5 linked regions of the Daphnia pulex genome follow. The main gene of each other region encodes a partner of the protein of the gene in region 5 in a complex. Links are inferred from orthologs where the notes say so. Each region holds a gene or a part of one and is shown on either strand. Other genes may lie near its edges. The genes, in order: vesicle transport through interaction with t-SNAREs homolog 1B-like, vesicle-associated membrane protein 7-like, syntaxin-5-like, syntaxin-18-like and vesicle transport protein SEC20-like.

Evidence for each region.
Region 1: vesicle transport protein SEC20-like (region 5) and vesicle transport through interaction with t-SNAREs homolog 1B-like share a complex: the UniProt entries of both Homo sapiens proteins name them as parts of the SNARE complex. The link is inferred for Daphnia pulex from reciprocal best matches to the Homo sapiens genes BNIP1 and VTI1B.
Region 2: vesicle transport protein SEC20-like (region 5) and vesicle-associated membrane protein 7-like share a complex: the UniProt entries of both Homo sapiens proteins name them as parts of the SNARE complex. The link is inferred for Daphnia pulex from reciprocal best matches to the Homo sapiens genes BNIP1 and VAMP7.
Region 3: vesicle transport protein SEC20-like (region 5) and syntaxin-5-like share a complex: the UniProt entries of both Homo sapiens proteins name them as parts of the SNARE complex. The link is inferred for Daphnia pulex from reciprocal best matches to the Homo sapiens genes BNIP1 and STX5.
Region 4: vesicle transport protein SEC20-like (region 5) and syntaxin-18-like share a complex: the UniProt entries of both Homo sapiens proteins name them as parts of the SNARE complex. The link is inferred for Daphnia pulex from reciprocal best matches to the Homo sapiens genes BNIP1 and STX18.

The regions. Positions count from the first base shown.
Region 1 is NC_060018.1:4,117,112-4,121,201, forward strand, and holds vesicle transport through interaction with t-SNAREs homolog 1B-like, read left to right. Parts: upstream 1-2,183; 5' UTR 2,184-2,297; coding exon 2,298-2,521; intron 2,522-2,608; coding exon 2,609-3,071; 3' UTR 3,072-3,181; downstream 3,182-4,090. Other genes in the region: uncharacterized protein LOC124189006, read left to right, coding at 1-79, 247-371, 534-904, 1,072-1,231, 1,520-2,020; homer protein homolog 2-like, read left to right, coding at 3,393-3,397. UniProt on the Homo sapiens protein: V-SNARE that mediates vesicle transport pathways through interactions with t-SNAREs on the target membrane. These interactions are proposed to mediate aspects of the specificity of vesicle trafficking and to promote fusion of the lipid bilayers.
Region 2 is NC_060018.1:6,537,224-6,541,673, forward strand, and holds vesicle-associated membrane protein 7-like, read left to right. Parts: upstream 1-1,546; 5' UTR 1,547-1,633; intron 1,634-1,768; 5' UTR 1,769-1,838; intron 1,839-1,907; 5' UTR 1,908-1,914; coding exon 1,915-2,121; intron 2,122-2,186; coding exon 2,187-2,324; intron 2,325-2,386; coding exon 2,387-2,477; intron 2,478-2,564; coding exon 2,565-2,632; intron 2,633-2,702; coding exon 2,703-2,795; intron 2,796-2,944; coding exon 2,945-3,016; 3' UTR 3,017-3,162; downstream 3,163-4,450. Other genes in the region: uncharacterized protein LOC124188813, read left to right, coding at 424-466, 531-623, 689-1,155; ribosomal RNA-processing protein 8-like, read right to left, coding at 3,163-3,370, 3,434-3,510, 3,572-3,731, 3,798-4,227, 4,309-4,324. UniProt on the Homo sapiens protein: Involved in the targeting and/or fusion of transport vesicles to their target membrane during transport of proteins from the early endosome to the lysosome. Required for heterotypic fusion of late endosomes with lysosomes and homotypic lysosomal fusion.
Region 3 is NC_060017.1:4,340,749-4,345,542, forward strand, and holds syntaxin-5-like, read left to right. Parts: upstream 1-2,057; 5' UTR 2,058-2,211; coding exon 2,212-2,654; intron 2,655-2,720; coding exon 2,721-2,776; intron 2,777-2,845; coding exon 2,846-3,087; intron 3,088-3,174; coding exon 3,175-3,545; intron 3,546-3,613; coding exon 3,614-3,773; 3' UTR 3,774-4,011; downstream 4,012-4,794. Other genes in the region: proteoglycan 4-like, read left to right, coding at 610-624, 915-1,292. UniProt on the Homo sapiens protein: Mediates endoplasmic reticulum to Golgi transport.
Region 4 is NC_060027.1:1,471,286-1,476,582, forward strand, and holds the start of syntaxin-18-like, read right to left. Parts: upstream 3,272-5,297; 5' UTR 3,239-3,271; intron 2,529-3,238; exon of another isoform or gene 2,402-2,528; intron 2,327-2,401; exon of another isoform or gene 2,272-2,326; coding exon of another isoform or gene 2,241-2,271; intron 2,180-2,240; coding exon of another isoform or gene 1,968-2,179; intron 1,855-1,967; coding exon of another isoform or gene 1,690-1,854; intron 1,530-1,689; coding exon of another isoform or gene 1,155-1,529; intron 1,043-1,154; coding exon of another isoform or gene 924-1,042; intron 829-923; coding exon of another isoform or gene 663-828; intron 572-662; coding exon of another isoform or gene 458-571; intron 378-457; coding exon of another isoform or gene 210-377; exon of another isoform or gene 1-209. Other genes in the region: F-box-like/WD repeat-containing protein TBL1X, read right to left, coding at 210-377, 458-571, 663-828, 924-1,042, 1,155-1,529, 1,690-1,854, 1,968-2,179, 2,241-2,271. UniProt on the Homo sapiens protein: Syntaxin that may be involved in targeting and fusion of Golgi-derived retrograde transport vesicles with the ER.
Region 5 is NC_060020.1:3,407,800-3,411,887, forward strand, and holds vesicle transport protein SEC20-like, read right to left. Parts: upstream 2,090-4,088; 5' UTR 1,839-2,089; coding exon 1,755-1,838; intron 1,682-1,754; coding exon 1,488-1,681; intron 1,433-1,487; coding exon 1,340-1,432; intron 1,279-1,339; coding exon 1,157-1,278; intron 1,093-1,156; coding exon 905-1,092; 3' UTR 886-904; downstream 1-885. Other genes in the region: 26S proteasome non-ATPase regulatory subunit 4-like, read left to right, coding at 1-58, 121-409, 475-701; GTP-binding protein 2-like, read left to right, coding at 2,722-2,787, 3,135-3,344, 3,973-4,088. UniProt on the Homo sapiens protein: As part of a SNARE complex may be involved in endoplasmic reticulum membranes fusion and be required for the maintenance of endoplasmic reticulum organization. Also plays a role in apoptosis.

The sequences.
Region 1 (4,090 bases), on a different chromosome or scaffold from region 5:
ATCAACGTTAACCAGAAACGTTTTGCATTGTGCTCGGCCGTCGCTGCTTCGGGTATTCCGTCTTTGGTGATGTCCAAAGGTAAATATGAGCCAAGATCATCATTGCACGGTTCCATACTAGCATGATGAATATGTGTTTCCTGTGTTTCTGACAAGCATGAAGTCATACCATGAGTCCCTGATCCATACAATGATAGTAGTAAATAAGGTCATATTGAATTAGAACTAAAATGTTTTTACATTCAGGTCACTTGATCAATGATGTCCCGGAGATGCCTTTGGTTGTGTCGGACAAGGTTCAAGAATACAAAAAAACCAAACAGGCCGTCGTGTTGTTGCGCCGTCTTCGCGCATGGACTGATGTCCAGAAGGTTTGTTTCTAGATATTTATGTATAATTATCACGGGAAAATGATGAGTTGCTTCTTGGTCTGTGTTTATGAGTAAATGATTTCACCTTAGAGCTCTGAACAAAATCTGAGTCATGAATGATTTTATGTGTGAACACCGTCTAATTAATCTGATTTCTTACAGGTTTACAAGACCAGGCGTTTCCGCGCAGGTAAGGGTAAGATGCGCAACCGTCGCCGTACCAGCAAATTGGGTCCACTGGTCATCTATGGCAGAGATCAGGGTTTGACCAAGGCTTTCCGTAACATCCCCGGAGTTTCTATGATTTCAGTAAACAAACTGAACCTCATGAAGCTTGCTCCTGGTGGTCATGTTGGCCGTTTCTGCATCTGGACCGAGTCTGCTTTCCAACGCTTGAACGCCCTCTACGGTACTTGGCGTCAGAAGTCTAAGCTGAAGAGCAACTACAACTTGCCTCAGCCCATCATGACCGGAACAGATTTGTCTCGTTTGTTGAAGTCTGATGAAATCCAGAAGGTTATCAGACGACCAAGGCAAGCTTTCTTTTTAATCTTTATTATTGATTAATTAATGATGAAAACCACATTTAGAGCATTGGGTTATGAATCTTTGTGATTAGCAAATTAATCTGAACGCAGTTTATCATTCAAGTGATACTGTCTGGTGCAAAGATGACTAATCGATACAATTTAAATTACAGGAAGATGATCCGTCGTGCATCTGTTAAGCGCAATCCTCTTACCAACATGAGAGCATTGATGAAGTTGAACCCGTACTCCGCCGTGATTAAGAAGTCTGCCGCTGCTGTTGCTGAGGCCCGGAAGAAGAGCAAGACTGCTTTGCTCGAGAAGAAGCGCGAGGTAATTTTGTTTTCTGTGAATGTTTGTATGTCTTAGATAGTTTTTCGTTTGATTTCTGTTTGAATTGTTAAAATTGTATTACCGCATGTGAACGTAACTTAATGCATGCCACATTGTTTAACATGTACAGGCGAGTGCTACCAAGAAGGTAGCTGCCTAGCCTGCGAGTGAGCGCACACAGCATGGTTTATTGAGCTAATCAACAGATGTTTTTGGTGAGTTGTCCATCGTAGTGAGAATCTGATTTGGAAAATAGTCCAAGTTCTAATTTGTATATCCATTCTACAGTCAGTAGTACCCGTACCAAATTTACCTGTTGAAAAGCCGAAAGAAGAAGCGCCCGTTCAAGCACCGGTCCAAGATGTCAAACCAACTCAACCTCCTCCTGTTGAAACCCCTAAGCCAACACCACCAGAAACAAAGAAAAGCAAGAAATCCAAGACGGCTGCAAAGGATTTGCAAGTAGAACCGATGGATGTAACACCCGCGTCCGTTGTTGAGGTGAAGACTGCCCTAGCTCCAGCTAAGGAACCATCTCCGCCAATCGTTACCATCCCTGAACCTGTAGTTAAGGTGGTAACACCAGTCGCTACTCCTGTAAAAGGAAAATCGCCACCAGTCGTTCCTGCCCCAACACCGATTGCTGTCCCGGAAGTGAAGCCGTTGGAAAAGGTTCTTGCTGCTCCCGTTGAAGCTATCCCATTAGAAGAAGCTTCTGTTCCCGAATCAGCTGCTGATAAGGGATCGAAAGCCAAGAAAGCAAAGGGGAAGAAAAATAAGAAGGAATGAGTGACATCATTGAACCTGTGCCTGTATGACGTTTTTTCTGTGACATCTGAATAAACCTTCTGCAGGCTGAAATGTGTTTAATTTATCTTAATAATTAGCTATTAAATGTAAATGTCATGGAAATGCTAATTCTCGCCGTTTGTGGCGCTGTCTTCAATGTTTTGTCAGATGGTGTTTTATACGTCAAGTCTACAATACATTCCTTGTCTTCGTCCTGATAGCAAGGTATCGTATGTAGTGCTCAAATAGGTTCAGAATTGTGCTACAAGAAACAGAAATGAGCTCAGAGAAATTTGAAACTCTGGATGAAGATGTACAAGTTTTGTTCGAAATTCTGCAAAGAAAGTGTTCCGGTAAGCTAGAACAATGTTTTGGCGAAGAAAAAAAGCAAGTTATTGCCGATGTCGAAAGAGGACTAGATGAAGCTAAACAAGCAATATTTGAAATGGAAGCTGAAGCTAGAGCAGCTCCTGGCTCTTTTAGGATGGACATGATTGGCAGGTAAAAATGTGAATGTCTTAAGTTTACACAGCAAACAATACATGTAGTAAAATTTCAACTAATGTTTTTTTTATCATCCAACTTCAGAGTACGAAGACATCAGGACACCTGTTCCAAACTTGCTCTATTGATCAATTCTTCCAAGCAATCAGAAATGTCTCTGGCCTCATCAAGAGGAAAACTGTTGGAAAACCAATCCACTGCTGCATTTAGCCAAAACCGGGGCATTGATAATGCTCTTCAAACAACTGTTCGCCAAGGAACTGCAGTTCTGGAAAGAACATCACAGAGCCTCTACAGAACTACTCAGGTTGCTTTAGAAAGTGAAGAGATTGGCACTGGAGTTATTCAAGAATTAAGTCAACAAAGAGAAGTGCTTGTTCGTACAAGAGATAGATTGACTGAAACGGATGCAGAGCTGGGAAGAAGTAGAAGAATCCTTAAGTCAATGTCTCGTGTTGCTATGACTAATAAGCTTGTCCTAATTGTCATCATTCTGTTGGAGATATGCATTTTGACAGGTTTAGTTTATTATAAATTTTTTTCTTGAAATTATTGTCCTCAAATTCTTAACATACCTCATCAAAAATGTAACTAATAGTGTTAGTGCCTTGAATTTGTGTAAAAGCCGATACAAAAATATAATCATGCGCATAGCGACCAGTATTTTTTTCCCCTTGCGTGCGCAAAGGATTTCCTAGCGGCCTTCGTACGCAGACGGAGTTACGAACCCAACCTCTGGCTTTCAGTTCCATTTGACAGAAGCTCTTCCTGTGTCATGGCGTGCTATACGTGTATTTAAAGTTTTTGCGTTTGCCAACGAAATCTGAGATTTTTCTAAGTTGTTCGTGCTTCGACATCGACAGTTAAAATGGGGTAAGTTGTGCATTTATTGATTCTGTATAGTCTTAAATGAAAAATCGATTCGTACCATATATCCACGTAGCAACAGCTGGATGCTGAGCACCACTGTCAAGTCTGAATTCAAATTTACTGTAATTAAAAGGGTATATGTTTCAAATATTTGTATTTTGGACTATGGAATTAGACAAATAAGAATTTTCCATTAGGGTGTATAAATACCATTAAGCTAAAGTGTAAATCAATATTGAAGTCACAGACTCACTGAAGTGTCCCGTCATTCAAATGTTAAAAAAGATTTTATTAATATCTTGGCTGTAAATATAGCATTCATATTTTCAAACTAATAAGCTAAGCTGCATCCAAGTTTTCAACCTGTACTAAATTCTAAAGTTGTATTGAGCTAAACTTCGAAGCTGAATGACTTGTGCCTCTAGCTACAGCCCAGAAGGATTGTTGCGAAATGTTATTCTCAACTCAAGCAATAGATTGTTGCTTTAGGTGATACATCAAAGTAATATTTCATCCAGCCAGAAAACTCTTGATATTGCTAGGATGCTAGGCCCACTGTTAGTGGGATTTTAGTCACACAATATTGATTTACTTTGAAACATGCAAGCCCCATTCAGACAATTCCAAAAGCACAAACATTCAACAATGATAATGGGAAATAGAAATTTGTGGACTTTGTGTATTCAGTTGTAAGAA
Region 2 (4,450 bases), on a different chromosome or scaffold from region 5:
TGTGAATACGGCGGCCATTATCGTGTATTACGTGAATGAAGCCTAACCATAATTTCTGTAAAAATGGTTGGCAGGTGTGCTGTTCCTGGTTGTAAATCAACATATTTCAAAGGAAATCAAAAAGAAAACGAGGTTACCCTGTTTGCAATTCCTAAAACTTCATTATCTAAATGGCGAGAACTAATTCCATGTAGTTATTTGACGAGCACCTCACGTATTTGCTCCCGTCATTTTGACGAAAGTGACTTCAAATCAGGGATTTAAATTTTGAACGTGTTCCATCCTTTCAAACGTAGGAATCGTAATGCTGGAGCAATTCCCAAACATTTTCTGATAAATGGTATTGATATTACATTTCCTGTATAATCTGTAAAGCACAGAAACTGAACCATTTTCATTTTAGATACACCTAGTCGACAAGCAATGCAAAATGTTGATGGTTTCAAATGGAGAAATAACCTTAATGGTATTTTTAAATATGTTTATTTTGTTTAATATCAAATAACGCAATTCTTAAATATGTATTGTAGTGGAAACAAATGCTAGCAATGCATCAGTAAGGAAACGACCAAAAGTAGACAAAATACCTACTACGTCTAAGAGAAAAAAATTTGACAGTACAGGTATTGATAATAGTTCTCGTTACATTTTATTTATAAGAGCAATTGCTTTAAATTTTATCTGATAGCACCCTCCATGGAAATTATTAAAGAATCAATCAACATTCCCCAGGCTGCTGAAGAAGCAATTTTTGATCCACTTCCAGATTCAATCAAGGAAAATCTTGCTGTTGTCATGGAAGATACGACAGTTGCATCACCTTCTATGGAAGCTACCTCTACTATTCAAGAATCAATGGACACTCACCAGGCTGCTGAAGAAGCAATTTTTGATCCACTTCCTGATGTAATGAACGAAAATGTTGCTGTTGTCATTGATGATTCGACAGTTACATCACCTTCTATGGAAGCAAGCTCTACTAATTTCAAGTCTAATTTTGTGACATTTCAGTCACTAGTAACTTCATCAATGGTACCAAAGAATTGGACATGGTATTTTGATCAAATTAAACAAACGATTTTTTGCATTTCGATGGATCGACTACCAAATGAAAATTATAATGTGAAAAGTGTACATTTTCAAAACAAGAAGTAGTGTATTATGTCAACGGAACAATAAACAATTTACACAACCAAACAATAAAATGTAAGAATGTTTGGACACTTACAAAGAATAAACAATTTACACAACCAAACAATAAAATGTAAGAATGTTGGGACACTTAGAAAAGACCTAGAGGTTTGACAGTTGGATACTTCTACCTTTTTATTTTGTTCACTTCTTGTAGAAAAGTAAGCTGTGATTGGTCAATGAGTTTTTCATAGACCCTTCCTGATTGGCTGGCTTCACGTAGTACCTGACACACTCACTAGAGGCGCTCATCAATTTTTCCAAATCGGACCACGTTTACCCTGAAACCGGGATAGGGAAGCCAACACGGCCGAGAACCGACCAGGTATCTATTGCTCTGCTCTAGTGAGTGAGCAAACCATAGACTCTATAACGTGGTTCCGACAATAGTCAACATTGAGTCATTGACTGGAGTGGATTGTCATTTGATAATTTAAGATAGGTTGTTTAATCCTTAATACTTACAAAAATTAATTATATTCGTCCTACAACTATCCAAAACTATAGCAACGTCTTTTGAGTGTCATAATATCTGCTCCTTCATAAGTTCTGTAATCCATCGTGAGTTTCTCTGCAGTTTTTTATACACGTTCGTCAAGTTATTGATGGGATTGAAGATCGTCTGAATCGTCGAGAAAGTTTTGTTGGTATGAGATTAGTTGACCCATAAAAAATATTTAGTCTTTATTACATAATCTCATATGTTAATTTTTTAGAAGGAAAATGCCGCTGTTATATAGTGTTGTTAGTAGAGGAAACACTGTTTTGGCTAGATTTGCCAATAATTGTACTGGAAACTTTTCTGAGATCACAGAGCAAGTTCTAGCTCAAATTGGACTTGATGATTCAAAAATGACCTACTCTCATGGATCATTTTTGTTCCACTATATTTTGCAAGACAGAATAATTTATCTTTGCATCTCAGATGATGTAAATCTTTTTTTTATTGTCTGCAATTGTAGAAGATGATATATAAATAGAAACCTTTATTTTAGGAATTTGAACGTTCAAGAGCATTTTTATTTTTGAATGAAGTTAAAAAGAAATTTGTAAATACTTTTGGAGCCCATGCATACTCTGCTCTACCATATGCTATGAACACGGAGTTTTCGAAAATTTTGGCAGGGCTAATGGTAAGTCGTGAAATTCTTCTCAATTATTTCAGACATTACTGAGATTTTTTTTTTAAAACCAGAAACACTTTTCTGAATCTCGAGATATCGATACCGTTTCTCAAGTTCAAGGAGAATTGGACGACTTGAAAGATGTAATGGTGAAAAATATAGGTAAAGTGTAAATACGAGCCAGCAAGAATTTGCAACCTCCAGCAGTAGTAACATAATACCATTTAATTTAATTTTGCTCATTATTAGATTCCTTAGCGGCACGTGGCGAAAGATTAGAATTACTGGTTAATAAAACCGAAAGCCTCAGCGCGTCAGTATGTATATTTTAGATATTTTTAAATTTTACTTTGGTTTACCAAGTAAGTTATTTTAAATTGTTTTTAGGCTGTTACTTTCCGGAAATCAAGTCGAAATTTGGCTAATTCCTTGTTCTGGAAAAACATAAAAATAACAGCAATTACTGCTGCCGTGATTTTGGTATGTTATAATTGTTTTACAGTTTAAATAACTATCTTTATTTCATTCGTAATTTTTTTTTTTTTACCATTTATCGACCTGAACTACATTCTAAAATTCGGAATAATATTTTAAATGAAATCTAATTGAAAATATCTATTTTTCCGTAGGTTATTGTGTATTTTGTCGTTAGCATAGCATGTGGAGGATTGAATTGGCATTCATGCATTCAAAATAGTTGATGCACAAATTCTGCGCGTGATCTAATTTTTCTTTCAGTTTTTAAAACAAACATTCTATTTCAACCAAATACGTTTCTGTACATTCGTAACATATAATGAGTCGGTTTCTTTGTTATGATGTTCAACATTTATGTGTACTTTTCTATTCATCGTTTTTTGTACAGACAAGGTTTCAAATATATTCTTGGCATAGTTGCTTTGGGACTCATGTTTTGAATCTTGCTAAACTTTGCGAGAAAAAAGTATTTTTGAACGTTATTTTCTTTGAGTTGGAATCCAAAACGTTCAATTGTTTTCAAGAAATCATTAATATTGCTACATCTGCTTTCAACTTCAGCTACACACAAAGTACCACTGTAATTTAAAAATTACATCAATAAAGATTATTATTTTTTAAAATCTGTATGTAGCATTTACCCAATTTTAAGGACTCTATTAGCTTCCTTTAAAAAGTCATGTATGTTGGAACCCATGAGAGATAAGCAGAAGACCACCTGAACAAGCAATATCTGTTGTTTGATCAAAATTTATAATGCATAAATAATGCTGAAATACCACATCAACAGCTTTGGTTGCCAAAGGAACAGAAGCCATGTCACAAGCAGTAACTTTGTCATTTGCTGCTACAAGGTCAAAAGAGTGAACTTTATTAGGAATGGTGTTTGCTATCTGAGCTTCACCACAACCAAAATCAGCTATCACCCAGTTTCTAGGACTAAAAAAAAAATTTTCATTTGTTAAATTAAAGCAATTTTTTAGCACATGGCTTGTTTTATTTTACCCTTTCATAAGATCAGTGATGATGATATCCAATGGGTTGACTGGCCATTTCAAAACCTGGTTCTTAAACCCCTTGTGGTATATATCAAATGATTGGGGGTCTTCTTGGAAAAGTTCCCATGCTTCACTACTACTTTTGGTATACAGCTCTTCATTCAGATACCTGAAATTAAATGTTATGATAGGCTGGAATATTGTCAACAACAACAAAAAATACCTGAACCGTGCAGATTCCAATCTTTGTCTTGCATCACTAGCAATCGATGCTCTCTCTTTAGTTTTTCTTTGAGGAGCTGAAAGTGGTGTTCTTTGGTGAGCAGAATTAGAATTTACCTTCTGTTTGGTTAGTGCAACCTTTAATCGTTTAACATAAGCTGAAGATCTCACATTTTTGGGTTTTAGTGAAATCTTTTTTGATCCCGAAATCGACGCTGAAAATTTTAGAAGTAATGGGAAGAAGAAAATTGATACAATTTTTGTGTCAGGATAAAATAATAATCATTTAAGGATACCTGTCTTGCTTTCCATTTTTTAAATTATGCGAATTGGGAAATGTATAAAACTTGAAAACCACGACCAGACCAAAACAGACAAGACACAAACCATGTGCAGGTGTTACAAAATATGCGCGTGCGTCATATTTCTTTTACAATA
Region 3 (4,794 bases), on a different chromosome or scaffold from region 5:
GGTGAGTAATTTTACAATTACCTTTGGCCAAATGTACGGGGAATATTTTTAGAACAAAGTAGAACCAATAGCGATCGAATGAAATTCAGAAAAAAAATTATAAAAAGTTAAAAACTGACTGAAGATTGCTTGAAACTGATTTGAAAATGCTAATTTTCTTTGAGAAAAAAACTGGAATTTGAACATTCATGTTTTTTTTATTTGCTTTTTTTTTTTTTTGCTTTTGCATTTTTGATTCTTCATTGTCTTGTTACCAAATGTTGACAGCCGCGGAGTTGTTAAACCGGAAAAGCTTGTCCGCTAGAAAACGAATGAATAGTCACGCAGCATTGCAGTACAAGAACAATTCTTATGGCAAAGATAGATGATCCTCCTACGTGGTTCGGACCACCGAAGGAAATATCCTTTCTGAACAAGAAGGACTGAAACTATCCGCCAATACAACATAAAAATGTTAGAAGTGAAGAAGGAAGTGCAAAAAAAAAAAAAAAAATGGGCATCCGCGGCTATATTAATGCGTGACTCGGTAATTCCTGATCAAGTAACCAGTAATCTTCGTTCGAGAAAACAACTCCTTTTCATCGGCAGCTAGAAGAAAAATTCAACACAATGAAGTACTTATTGGTATGATCACTGTTACATTTACTTTGTATCTGTTACACCTGTATTATATTTAGACATAGGCCGTAGAATCAATTTAAATGGAATTCATTTGGGATGTAGTGCAGCGATTTATTGAAATAGTATTTCATGTATTCTATTTCCTGAATGATTTTTAAAAATTCGTATTTAAAGCCTTGCCTCTAAGCTACCAAGCGGCCAAAAGCACGGCGAAAGTGATTTTACCAATAACAAATTATGACTGTGTATACTCTTTGATAAATATTTAATGAAAATGCGTTTGATTTCAATAGGTGAAGATTTTTATTGTGGTAGCCATCATTTCGCTGGCTAATTCCCAGCAGAGTGCTTCAAAAACAACGCCCAAAACTGTTAAACAGGTATCGACGACGGCTAAGCCCATGGCTGGTGCTGCTACGACTGTTAAGCGTTCATCGACAACGGTTAAGCGCGCAGGAACAACAGCTAAACCGAGAACAACTACTGTCAAGCGGGCAGGAACAACAGCTAAACCGAGAACCACTACTGTTAGGCGTGGACCTGCACCCACAACTGCCAAGCGCGCATCTACAACACCTAGACCTAGGACCACTACTGTCAAGCGCGCACCTACAACTGCTAAGCGCGCGTCCACTACGGTTAAGCGCACAGCCACGACCAAGAAAGTTTAAATGATTCAATTCCGGCCATCATTTTCTTTGTTGTTTCTTCAATCTTTACATATCTATAGGCCCACAGTTAAACATTCCATCGTTGTTTCGAATATGAGCAGGCCGTCTCTTTCTGAGTAATACGACTCAATTTGCTATTCTTATTTAATTGGCAGTGATATTTAGTAAATATAATATGCAGAAATCGTTTGTTATCAATATTATTTCATTTACGATTTTATTTCCGTACAACCAAATACTATTTGCTTGTGTTTTATAGGGATTTGAAGATTTACGTAAGCTTTGGCAATCAAGCGTAAATCTTGAGACGGTTGTTAAAAATTTTTGGAAAGGAAATAAAATAAAATTAACAGAAATGCTTTACAAATTTATATGTAAAAAAAAATGTTTGGGAACTTCTGTGTTCAACAGTAGAATTACACATGAGTACACTTTTCTAAGTGTGCATTATAATATTGTTTTGGTCTTCCCTCGCTAGCAATGAAAACGGCTTTTCCTAAATAAAAAAAAATAAATTGAGATGAAAACATAATTTTGATTGGTATGACGCGGGAACGATGGAGAACCTAGTACGTAAGTCATACTTCTCTTAGGAGGAATTTGCGACATTTAAAGCAAACCAACATTGTAGAAAGATAAAGTCTATACATAGTAATTAATAATAGTAATTGATAAAGCTGGATAAAGGTTAAAATAAAATGATAAATATTGAACTTTATACAGTAGATAATTAACGTTGGCAACGTTGGGAATTACGGCTAATGTTTGGTATTTTTTCGTCTGCACACACTCTGCAGACAACCCTTAATATGACGTGGCATTCGGTATAGTTTCTTGTCGCAAAATATCTGGCGTTCCCGATTATTTGGATTTCAAAGACGAAAACGGATGAATTTTTCGAGAGATAAATTTTTGACGGATGATTACTCGAAGACGCCGGCAAGGCTCTGAATCGGAGCATCAGCCGCTTGCTGAAACCCAACTGCAAAACCAAGTCCTGAAAGGCTCTTCATCCGTTTTACTGTGGTCGGGAGAAAGTCCTCAACAGCAGCCATCCTTTTTCATTGTTCCGCAGGGTGAAATAGGTGCATTTGTTGCACCAAATTATTCAACAGATAAATTTGTAGATGTTCAAGCAAAAACCAACAGCGCTGACATGATGGCCCTAGCATCTAATTCGAGTTCATCAGTTCTGTCTTCCACCAATGCTTCTTCACGTGATCGGACTGCAGAGTTTCTCTCTGCAGTCAGAAGCTTCCAGAGTAGGCCAGTTAACGGAGTAGTTGGGAGGCCGAGTCAATCACATCCATCTAAGAATACAGATCAACATCAACAGTACTCTGAATTCATGAAAGTGGCAAAGTAAGTTGTCGACTTTTAAGAAAATATTTGCAACTATTGAAAATATTCAAATTTTTTTCTGTACAGAGTTATTAGTAAGGATTTGAGCAACACATATGCAAAACTGGAAAAACTAACTCTATGTAATTAGCTTTGTTTTTAATTTCTACTGTTCAACCAATCATTTCATGGTTTCACATTTATGCTTGCAGTGGCGAAAAAACGAACGCTATTTGATGATCGTCCTCAAGAGATCCAAGAACTGACTTACATCATCCGTGAAGATATCACAAATCTGAACAAACAGATTGCTCATCTGCAAGGATTCATGAAAAAGCAACAGAATCAACAACAAAATACCAAGGCCCATTCAGCAAATGTCGTTGTAGCTCTTCAGTCGAAGCTAGCCAATATGTCTTCTGAATTCAAACAAGTCCTTGAAGTCCGCACTGAGGTACACGCCTTTCCTAGTTTAAAAAATAACTACTAGATTTTATTATCTAGGATATTCAGTAAAATGAATGTTTTGAAAATATTTTAGAATCTTAAAGCCCAGAGAAGCCGTCGAGAACAGTTTTCTGGCTCCGTCCCAGTCGTTTCTGATTTACCGGCTGCAGCCTTGACAGGAGGACCGTTTGGATCCTCTCAAAATGGTTCTAAAGGATCTGTTCTACTCCGTGATGCTGCCTATCAAGCCCATGGAGGAGAAGCAGTAGCTATCGACATGGGTGCCGCTGACAACAGAACCAACAGGAATCAAATTCAGCAGCAAGTGTTTGCCGACGAAACAGAATCTTACCTGCAAAGTCGTTCTGACGCAGTCCAAAGTATAGAATCCACTATCGTGGAGTTGGGCGGAATTTTCCAGCAACTGGCTCTCATGGTTCGCGAACAAGAAGAAATGGTTCAGCGGTAATAATATTAATTATTTTAGAATATGTTATAACAAAGAATTTATGGAAATATTTTTCTTCGTGTAGGATTGACTCGAATGTCGACGATGCCCAACTTAATGTGGAAGCCGCTCATGACGAACTCTTGCGTTACTTTCGTTCCGTCTCTTCTAATAGGTGGCTGATGCTAAAAGTCTTTGGGGTTGTCCTTGTGTTTGTTGTAATATTCGCCATCTTTTTTGCTTGAAAATTATCTAAAGTACGATTTCCAATTCATTTACCAATACAATTTTCGATCCTAATGAATTTAAAACTCACGGTTCGTTTCTCCATTGTGCTTGATTAACGAATGTAGATGTGCCCTCTGACGAAAATGTTGCCCAGCAGACTTCTGGTGATTTTCATGATGAAGTTATAAACTGTGATGTATTAAGAATAAAATTCAATAGTAAAATATCAGAAGAATAAATAAATTCTAATCTATATTTGACATCTTCAATATTATAGCTAGCCAGCTAGTATTTTTTTAAATTGCATTCCAATTCCATTCATTTCCGTCAGCTGTATTTTGAAAGGTTGTTTAGAATCACCCTCTGATCTAAAAAAATACCGCAACAATTTTCCCAAAGTTTAGTACTAGCCCGCAGTTCTGAATCTTCGAGTGTGTGCTCTCTTACTCCGAAGAGGGGCGTCCCTAAACTGCGAAAGCGAAACGCGAAACGCGAAACGCCTAAAATGCGAAACAGCTGTGCGAAACGGACCCAAAAGTTGAGACCCTGTTTCGCATTTTAGTCTTTGGGTCCGTACTAAACTGCGAAATCGGTGTGTGCGAAACGTCGCAGTGTAAACGTCTTGGTAGCAGACGACAATGGACGCCGTCAACAAACAAATTGTTAAGAGTTTCAAATTTTCGAGTTTCGCGCACCTTATGGCTGGTCTATTTGTGTGTTGACCATGAATACGAAATACCTTGAATGCAATATGTAATAGGTGTTTTAATTAGAAGATTGGTATAAAAAAATTAATGGAACTTCTCGTTTCCATACTGTATCAGTATCAATCAGATTAACATTCTTAATTTTAAGGAAAGTTTTAGCTGATTAAATTTTAGCTTGATTTGGAACATGGTAGCTTTGACTTTTAGCTTGATATAAGGCACTCATACTGTTATGGCCGATTCTTTCTTTGTGCACGTACCTACTGGTTGATTTAAATTATTTAATGTAATCCGATGTAATCCCTGGGCCATTACCTAATATTTTATTATT
Region 4 (5,297 bases), on a different chromosome or scaffold from region 5:
GAGCAACACTGCAAGAGAGCATTAACAATTGTTGTTTCCTTGATTGCTGATGCTCTATTGATTGAACAGAAAACAAAAAATAAATGAGAAAGAAGTTGGGGGATTATTTTTCGTATTCCTAATTCAGATACATGCCATAGAGGGGGACTGCTAACAGAAGAATTTGTTGATTACATTCAATCTTTTGCCTTGGAAAATTCGATCAAAACTTATTCATTTTGATTGCAAACAAGTTTGTGTTGGGGCCAGTGTGAACGCTGACAATCCTTGCTACAATAGAAGATTGAATTGCAGCGAGCGCAACGCTTTAGATTTTGAGACATTTTCTTGCAGCCAGCACAGCAGTTTTCGGCAACGAAGTATTCAATCACTTTAAACTGTTTGAATCACAGAGATGAGAAGTTATTTATTAACATTAATTTGTTGAAATTTGGATGAATGAAACGCATTATTTTACCTGTCTCTGTCCTGTTCTCTCTGAAATTGCTAGCTTGCAACTGGCCGCGTCCCATGTCATCATGTATGGATACATATACTCTGATGAGGGTATAATGTATATGCTCTTCCAACTCTGAAAATTCATTTAAAAAAGAAATTGCGGGAAAAGAATGTACGTGAGTCGCGTTTGATCCAACTAAGAATTTCTATCAAAAATATTTTACCTTTGTAGACCAAATAATCACTTTCTTGTAATAGTCTGTTGTTGCGAGATAGCGTCCGTCAGGTGAAAGTATTAATTGATGGATCTGATCATGTCCTGTAAGTTTTCGTGTCTGAATTTCATGATCAAATGGATACCAAATTACAACGTTTCCACTTTCTAATCCGCTGAATAAAAGCCAATTAAAAAGCTGTGGTTATTAGAATGTCAATTTAAACTTGCATCTTTTAAAACTTGATTAAAATAATCTAGGCAGTCTAACCATGCAATAAAAGTTTTTGTCGTCATCTCTTCTTTGATGCCAGAATTCCATACCAAATTTCTGCAATTGGAATCGACATCCAACACAAGAATAGGATCTTTACTGCCCAATGACCAAATCTGCAATTAAAATTGTTTAAATATTGACTCATTTAAATTTAAAAACTTAGACAATAATAATTGTCTATCGACTATTAAAATCCAATAAATATAACGTATGTAGTTCTAATACCTTGACTCGAAAGTCTGTTCCACCTGAAGCCAAAAGTTCAAATTCTTTGTTAATGGCGATACTCGATACGAAAGTTCGTGTTTGGCCCTGGTAGTTCATAAGCGAAAAATTGTCCCTGGAATTCATAAGCGAAAAATGGTGAACAGCTTTGTCATGATCACCCAGATCGTGACGGATTTTCTGGACCATTCGGCTTTTCATTTGACTGTTATTCAATTCTATTTCGTGAATTTCAAACGTTCCATCGTCGTAACCAAAGGCGAGTTGATTGTGCGAGTTCCAGGCCAGGGTCTGACAGTTCCATTTTGATTTGATGGTGTGGGTGAGGAGGTTTTCAGCTGCTGAATTGGCAATCATCACCTCGTTTGTGTCCAACTTGAGATACAATTTTAAAACTTAAAATTTCTGGTGAACAATAAATTAATGTGAATGTTTCTCGTGTACACCGACTTTTAATTTGAAATTCTCCCTTCCCGCATTACTTAAACAAACTACTAAGTTAGCACATGAATATTGTTTTTTTTTTTTCACTTACCGCACTGTTATAACTAGCCAACATGTCCCGGTTAAATGGATGCCAAAAAATTAACGGGAAATTCGATCGTCCATTTCTTCGGAATGTTTGTTTGCCACAGCCTGGATAAGACACAATAATGACAGTCCCATTATCGGAGCCAGCAGCTACTTTAGTTCCATTGACCTTTACGCCAAACAGAAAAACAAAAATAGAAACTTAGGATTAACACTGTAACATTTAGCACACGATTTTGATGGGGTGAAACACGGACACAATTATTTGATTCACAGACTTACGTTCCATTGGACGGATAAAATTGTCCTTTCGTATCGGCTGTATACGGGTTCAATCTCCCAATTCTCAAACGGTGTGGAGTGATTAGTTCCCCGAAGGAAAACTAATCCTCCTTGAACTAAGCCGCACGCCAGAACAGGATCGATGGGGTGGAAACTGGAACTTCTCACATCTAGTTTACTCGTAATTGAGAACTCAACTGGTTTGAAAAAACCTGGATGGGACATCAGACATTGATTAAAAACGATGGACAAGTTTATAAATATTTGTCTTACCTTTCCCTGGTGAGTTTACAGCATCTGTCATTTTCTCTCTCCTTAGTGACGAACGGAAGTGTAAAACCACGTTTAGAAGTAGCGAACTAAAATGAACGAAACATTATTTTACAGCGTTAAAGCTGGAATATCCATAGAGTTTAGAATCTTAAAAATTTCACCGATGCGCAGATAGATGAGTAATATTTAAAGAGACTGGCAGCACGATGCCTCGAAGAATGTTGAAACTGAAGTGGCAATTAAAGAAGATGGAACTGGAAAAGTAAAACTGAAAAACAAAAGAGAAACGTTCAAGGGGGTAAGAAGGGGGTGGATTTGAACGGGGTCGTAGGAAAATTTACCTTGACTTTTTCTGTCTGGAATCTTTTTTGTTTTTCAAACTTGTCTCGAGGTTGCTAAAATAGCTGTAATTTTCGATACGCAACTGCATTTTGACTAATCCTTTGACAAAAATCTTTTCTCACTCCCCTTACCTCACACCATACGACTTTCCTCTCCACACCCACTATATTTTTTTTACCCACTGAAATAACCCCAAAAGAAAGTAAACTTGAAAAACTCGTGTCTTTTCATTTTCCCGACAACTTAATTGATTTCAATTATCTTTCAACAACCAATGATACATTATAACAACTTTCTCAGAGTCCATTGATAGGCATCTCTTTTGCCGATATCACGGTATTTTGTTTATCTAATCCGTTCACTCACATCACGAGCGTGATTGCTTTTCAATTCTAGCTGTCTAAAACTCTTTCAACTTGGCCACATTTGAGACAATCTCTTTGGCTTTCGTTTGGAATTTTGAAAAATGTTTGGATGGTCGTGGGAAAATGCAATTTGGGTCTTCAGTTTTCAGCTAGCTTTATTGCGTGTCCGGACCGTCTTGATGGAGACCTTGAACAGGGACGTGATATCCATCATGATCGGTGTTTCCAACAACAAATATTTTGATTTGAATAAGTAATGTATATTCTTTATAATTTATTTGTTTAACTTACCGTTTGACAATGATTTTTGAGCAAAAATCTGCCAACACTCAACAGCCGTTCTATTTTTCAAACGTCCTCGTCGTCAGTTTGTTGTGGAACTTAGTCCGCCATCTACCAGTCGTTTGCCAAGTTCGTTGCAATGTATTTTTTTCTTTGGCGCCATTCCCATGAACGACGAGCTATTCGTCTTCGAGAGCACACCATTACTGCCATTACTTCACAAGTTCACTGAACAGTGAACAATGTTCGAAAGTGTGCATCCATCGTCTTCATTTGTGTTGAGCAGCGTGATATTACTTTAAAGATTGTACTGTTCATTGTGATTCCTTTGCAAAATCTGTGACCAACATTTTCGGTGGTGAATTGAATCTGCACCAGGCTGGAAGTGACACACATGCTGATGAGGTAAACATCCCTTTGTCTGCAGTATTTGTACGAAAAATATGGCGCCTGACTTATTCTAGAATTGTAACGTGTTGGGTACTTGATGAAAGGTAACTATTTGTGAACTGTTTCACTAAATGACAATATCAACTATGGCACGAAAGGATTGTAGGAGGGTTTTGCACCATGCAGTGCCAGTCAGTTTATATCTTTTTTCGACAGACATCAGAATATGCATCCCATGAGGTTTCTTTTCATGGTGAGTCTACATTGCTTCCTCGTGAAAGTTTATTTTATTATTTTTACGTTGTTGGTGGATATTACTTTTGTTGTTTGTTTTATTTGAGCAGGTTTAGTTTGAGAGTTTTGGGCTTGGGCACCGGTGGTGAAACCCTGATGGTGGTAAAAGGTGTCATGATCTGTTCCCAGTTCTAAACACCTTGCGAGAAATTTAAGACATCCAGTCTTTCACTCGTTTTACCTTCAAATTTACCTTGGTGGACCAGATAACCAATTTTCCTTCATAGCCGGTCGATGCCAGAAAGCGTCTGTTTGGCGAAAATAAGATTTTATGCAAATCGTGGGAATGTCAATCGAAAAACAAACTTGGTTGTATTTCCTTTTCCGTTGGCGACCAAACAAAAATTGATCCGTTATCTAACCCTCTGAAAAAAGATCAGAAAAAGGCGATTGAGCTCTTACGCTTAATTAAATAATCGATTTGGGACACTGGGATATTAGATGAATGAAATCTGACCCGACTAAAAAAGGTTTTTCCTTCGCTCTTTGCACGATTACGCTGGATGGGAATTGGACTCCAAATTTATTCGCAACAAGAAGAACTGGATTCTATCATGCGTATGGGATATTGGGATCCTCTCTTTCCAATTACCAATTCTGCGTTCAATTATTTGAAAGTGAAGGAGTTAAACATTCAATTCTAAATAACCATTTAAATTCTGGGACACACCTTGATCCAAATATCGTCTGAACTGGTGACCAACAGTTTTAATTCTTCGTTCCAGACAATACTCGATACATTATATCCAAAATCTCCTTCTGACAAACTGTATGGGTCTTACGAGTGAGAGTCGGGCACTCACCAAACGTTTCTTGAATAGTTTGCTAGTTGACGTATCGTTTAGTTCTATTTCGTTTAATATCAGCCGTTTCCTAATCATAGCTACAAATGAGCGAATCCAATTCAACCCAGACTTAAATGGGTATTCGGTTTATTATGTTAATCTCTCAAGGAAGTTTTGAAACATGCTTATTAAACTATTATTTTATTTTGACAGAACTTCATCCAGGCGTCATCACCGGAATGACGAAATTCTTGGCATTCGTCACTCCAGTCGTTGGATGGATGGATTACCTTCTAGACCCCAATACTTAACCGGATTCGCTTTTAATGTAAGTCACCCTCACCCACATTTAAACATCTATTTTCTTGTTGTGTTGCAACTATAGAGAATCTTTTCGTTGAAAAGAAAGAGTATTCGAAAAGTTTTCGAATACTGTTTTTGAAGTAATTGCGTTTCTTAATGACAGGCATTTTAAAACAGGAAAAGCTTTTCCTATCTTTGTTTGAAATCTCTTTTCCTTGTTCTTTTGGCTATTGGGCCGGCTGAACACGATAAAGTTATTTACGGAATTTCATTTTGACTCTTCCGTTGAAGTCCTT
Region 5 (4,088 bases):
AATGGGGGCTGGAGGTTTTGAATTTGTCGATCCTAATGAAGATCCTGAATTAGCTCTCGTAAGTGTTATCACTATTTAAATAGTTTATTATTTCATTTTAAAATTATTTTCTTATTAAAGGCGTTACGAGTGTCGATGGAGGAGCAGCGTCAGCGTCAAGAGGACGAAGCTCGTCGTTCGGGAAATCCGCCGGCTACAGAGCCCGCTGCAGCTACCACTATTGGCGGTGCCCCTGCTTCCAACGAAGATGCTATGCTCGAGCGTGCGTTGGCTATGTCTATGGATCAACCAAGTGTCAATACAACTGTAGCCAGTGCCGCCCCTGCAGCACCCGTTTATCCCGATTTCGCAACAATGACTGAAGAGGAACAAATTGCATATGCAATGCAAATGTCCATGGCAGAAGCTCGTAAGTTCTTTGTAAGGTGATATGTTGTTGCGGTTTGTAGACTAATAATTTAATATAAAATTCAGAGGGACCAGTAAAAACGGAAACCGAAGCTATGGAAGTAGAACCAACGCCAGCAGCTGCGGCTAGTGATGATTATGATGAAGTTATGAAAGATCCCGAATTTCTTCAGAGTGTCCTAGAAACGCTTCCAGGTGTTGATCCTTCAAGTGATGCTGTACAATCTGCCGTCGACGCTTTGCGAAACCAAGATAAAGACAAAAAGCAAGGCAAAAAGCCTGACTCCAAGTAAACAGATTGATTTCTTACGCGTCGCGAATGTTTGAATCCGGAATAAATTGATTTTCATCTGTTCATTACGTCTGCATTTAATGTAATGCGGAAGGTGTTTTGTTCGGTTGGCACATAACTGCGTAATTGATTATTCTAGGATGTTTTCGTATTTTTCTGAACTGAATAAAGAAACTCAAAAAATCTTGATGTACAAATTTATCTCTAGAACATGCGCTTTTGAATGACATATACACAAGCTGCAAAGAATGCAGCCAAAGCTAGAATAATTAAAATCAAATCGGTCGTCTCTCTCCGTCCAAACCGGGAGACCAACTTTTTTGTGGTTGTTAAGGCGCTTCCCATAACTTTAAACTCATCCTGATTGTCACTCACAGCATGTGATGATTGAGCTACACAATATATTAATTTATAGTATTGATTAAATTTAAAAAAAAATGGATTAATTGTTCATACCAAGTACTTCTAGAGTTCCTCTATTTTGCTCCAGAACACTAGCCATGGATTGACTTATACTTCTCAAATTGGCAGTCACATTGGTTGACATTTTGATAAGTTCCTCTTTTGATTTAGTTTGTCTACAAATTTAACATAAATTCAAATAAGCCAACAAGACAGAAATCAAATTCATAAAGTTACCTGGATCTTACTTCCATATCTTCAGGATTACTGTAAAAGAGTTCAGCTTTGTTTTTTAAACTGACAGTTAGTTGGCACTGTACATTAGCTTTCCTGGAAAGATGAAAGAAAATAATGCATTAAAACATGAAAACTTACAAACTATTACCGAAATGCACTTTGGAGACTTTTCAATTGATTTTTGAAGAGATTGACATCTTCAGATAGTTCTCCATCCTCATCTTCATCTTTGGAAATTTTTTCAAACTCATCGATACAATTTTTAAGTTTTCTAAATTCTGACCGATATTCTGAGTTCAACACCACAATATCAGCTTCTGTAATATCTGTCTTTTGTATTTGCTTTACAGAAAAAGTGTGGATGATTAATAGCAATCCGATTACATTAATATAATTTAATATTTGCATTACATACATGCAGAATGGTTTGTATGGTCAAATTTCCTTTAAGAATGTCATTTTTCAAAGATTCTATTTCACTACCTTCAGAATTTTTCATTGTATTTTAATATTTGGGGTAAAATGCACGAAACTGCCTATTTATCGCTATTCGCTACACTGACAGATTCACAGCAGATGGTTTGTTGTGATGTGTGCCACGTTGCCCAAGAAAGAAAAAATTGCATCATTCCAAAAGAAGTACTTTTTTATTGCGTAAAAATAATTAAAACGATTAGAATCTTTGTTTCTAATGTAATAAGAAAGTTTCGTCATAATTTCTAAGCTGTTTAGAAAACTTGGAGACAGAGTGCTGGCTGCTGGAGGTCATTCAAGGTAAATCGGTTCTTTTAATGGCGCATAGTATAGTGATAAGCAAAACAAACGCTTCCTTTTTGGACCGCTGGGAAGTGTACTTGTAATGCTGACGAAAGTGGAATAGAATAGAAAGAAGTGAAAGAATAGAGGTTTCGGTTTGTTCTACTGGCAGAGTTCTTTTTAAAAAATTGTGGAATTGGCCTATAGAGAAGAGCAGTTACAGTTTGGACGTGCATTGTGATGTGTAGCTTGTTTAATCTGTGGTGATCTACTCAATCTAGATGAAATGATACCTCGGACAGCCTAGTTACTACAGTTCATTTCGCGCCCAGTTTGTGTTGTGTTCAAGTCGATCCCTTGTCGACCCATCTTTGATGCCAAGTGAAAAGTAGCTTACAAATACCGTAGTATAAATAGTACCTTTGGAAATCAACAAAAAGTATAAATATTGCGCACAAAACTGTGTCGCATTTGGCAAAGCCCATTCGGCAGTTTTAATTTTAGTGTCGTAGCTTTGTTATTCTCGAGTAAACCACAACAACAAACACATTTTAGCTCCCTTCGCTCGTACTGGTGGTCGCTAAATTTTAGGTCTCCTTGGGCTTTAACTAGTCTATATTTTGAAGATGGCCATAGTCATTCAACAGCAGCGTCAAAACAAACGCCATAAAACAAAATCCATCGGGAGCCCCGTAAGTATATTTCATCACATTTTGTGAAAGGGAAACCGCTATACACAGTCCTTTGTTGTCACATGACGTCAGCATGATATCCGTTATGTTCTATAGTCGTGTTCAGACTTGTTCAGATTTCTTTTTTTCTTCTTCAAACCCCAATTCTTTTGTTTACCGTGTTCTAAACGACCAACAGTGGGGCAGGTTTCCCTAAAATTTTTATAAGAGTGCAGTGAAAGTAAACACTGAATTTTACTATTTTTTCTGACCCAGATAACAAGACTGTAGAGTGCCCAATAAATAAGATGCACTTTCTTTTTCTATTTATTTACGACTTTATTGTGATGATCTCTTTTTAAAAAAAGGACCCTATGGATGCATTTTTGGGGTTGTACGACAATGGATCGGATTCAGACGATGACGAATGGATTTCTCAGCTCGAAATAGGTGATCCTCTGGCCAGTAACAGCAACCAAAAGAAGAATCTACCACCAGAACCGCAATCCGGCAATATTGAATATAAACTTAAATTAGTGAACCCTTCGGAGCAACGGATCCAGCATCTTGTCACGCAGGTATTACTAACGCTAGTATATCACGGATGTGCACTCATCCATTTTTTAAATAAGCAATTAGTTAAAGAATGTTTTCAGTTGTAATTAAAAATTCATGCGGAGAAAAACCCGCCATAACTCTTCCCGCTTGTAGTAATAAGCAAAACAAGAGATTAAATCTTACTGCATAATTGTATCATTAATCTTTTAGTCAAAACCCAGTCATTAAGGCTGTATATGGTAAGGTAAGCAGTTTAGAGAAATATGGTTCAATGCACTTTTGGGACCCGGTCATTTGAAACACGTTTTGATGACGTTTGTGATTATTTTGCATGACGTCATTTTTTATTTAGATTACACGTGGAAAGTTTGAAAACGACATCTAGTGCTTTCAAATTCAAGTTACAGATTCCAGGAATTTCGCAGCATTGTACTTTGAAAGTATATATTCTTTTTAGGGTGCTTTTGGTCTAGACCTTAAGTAATAAATAGCCCACAGGGACGGTAGCCAAAAGTGATTCATTATCATACCAAGGGCATTAATCAATATTCCGATGTTCTTTACGATTTTGATGCACGCTTTATGATGAATGATGGATTGATTTTGATTTGCATAACTAAAGAATTCTTCCTTTCGGTGGCTGCGCAGATGAAATGGCGTCTACGTGAGGGTCAAGGTGAAGCAATCTACGAAATCGGAGTAGGGGACGATGGATTTTTGCATGGCTTGTCACGCACGGATATGGATGCCTCTTTGGATACTCT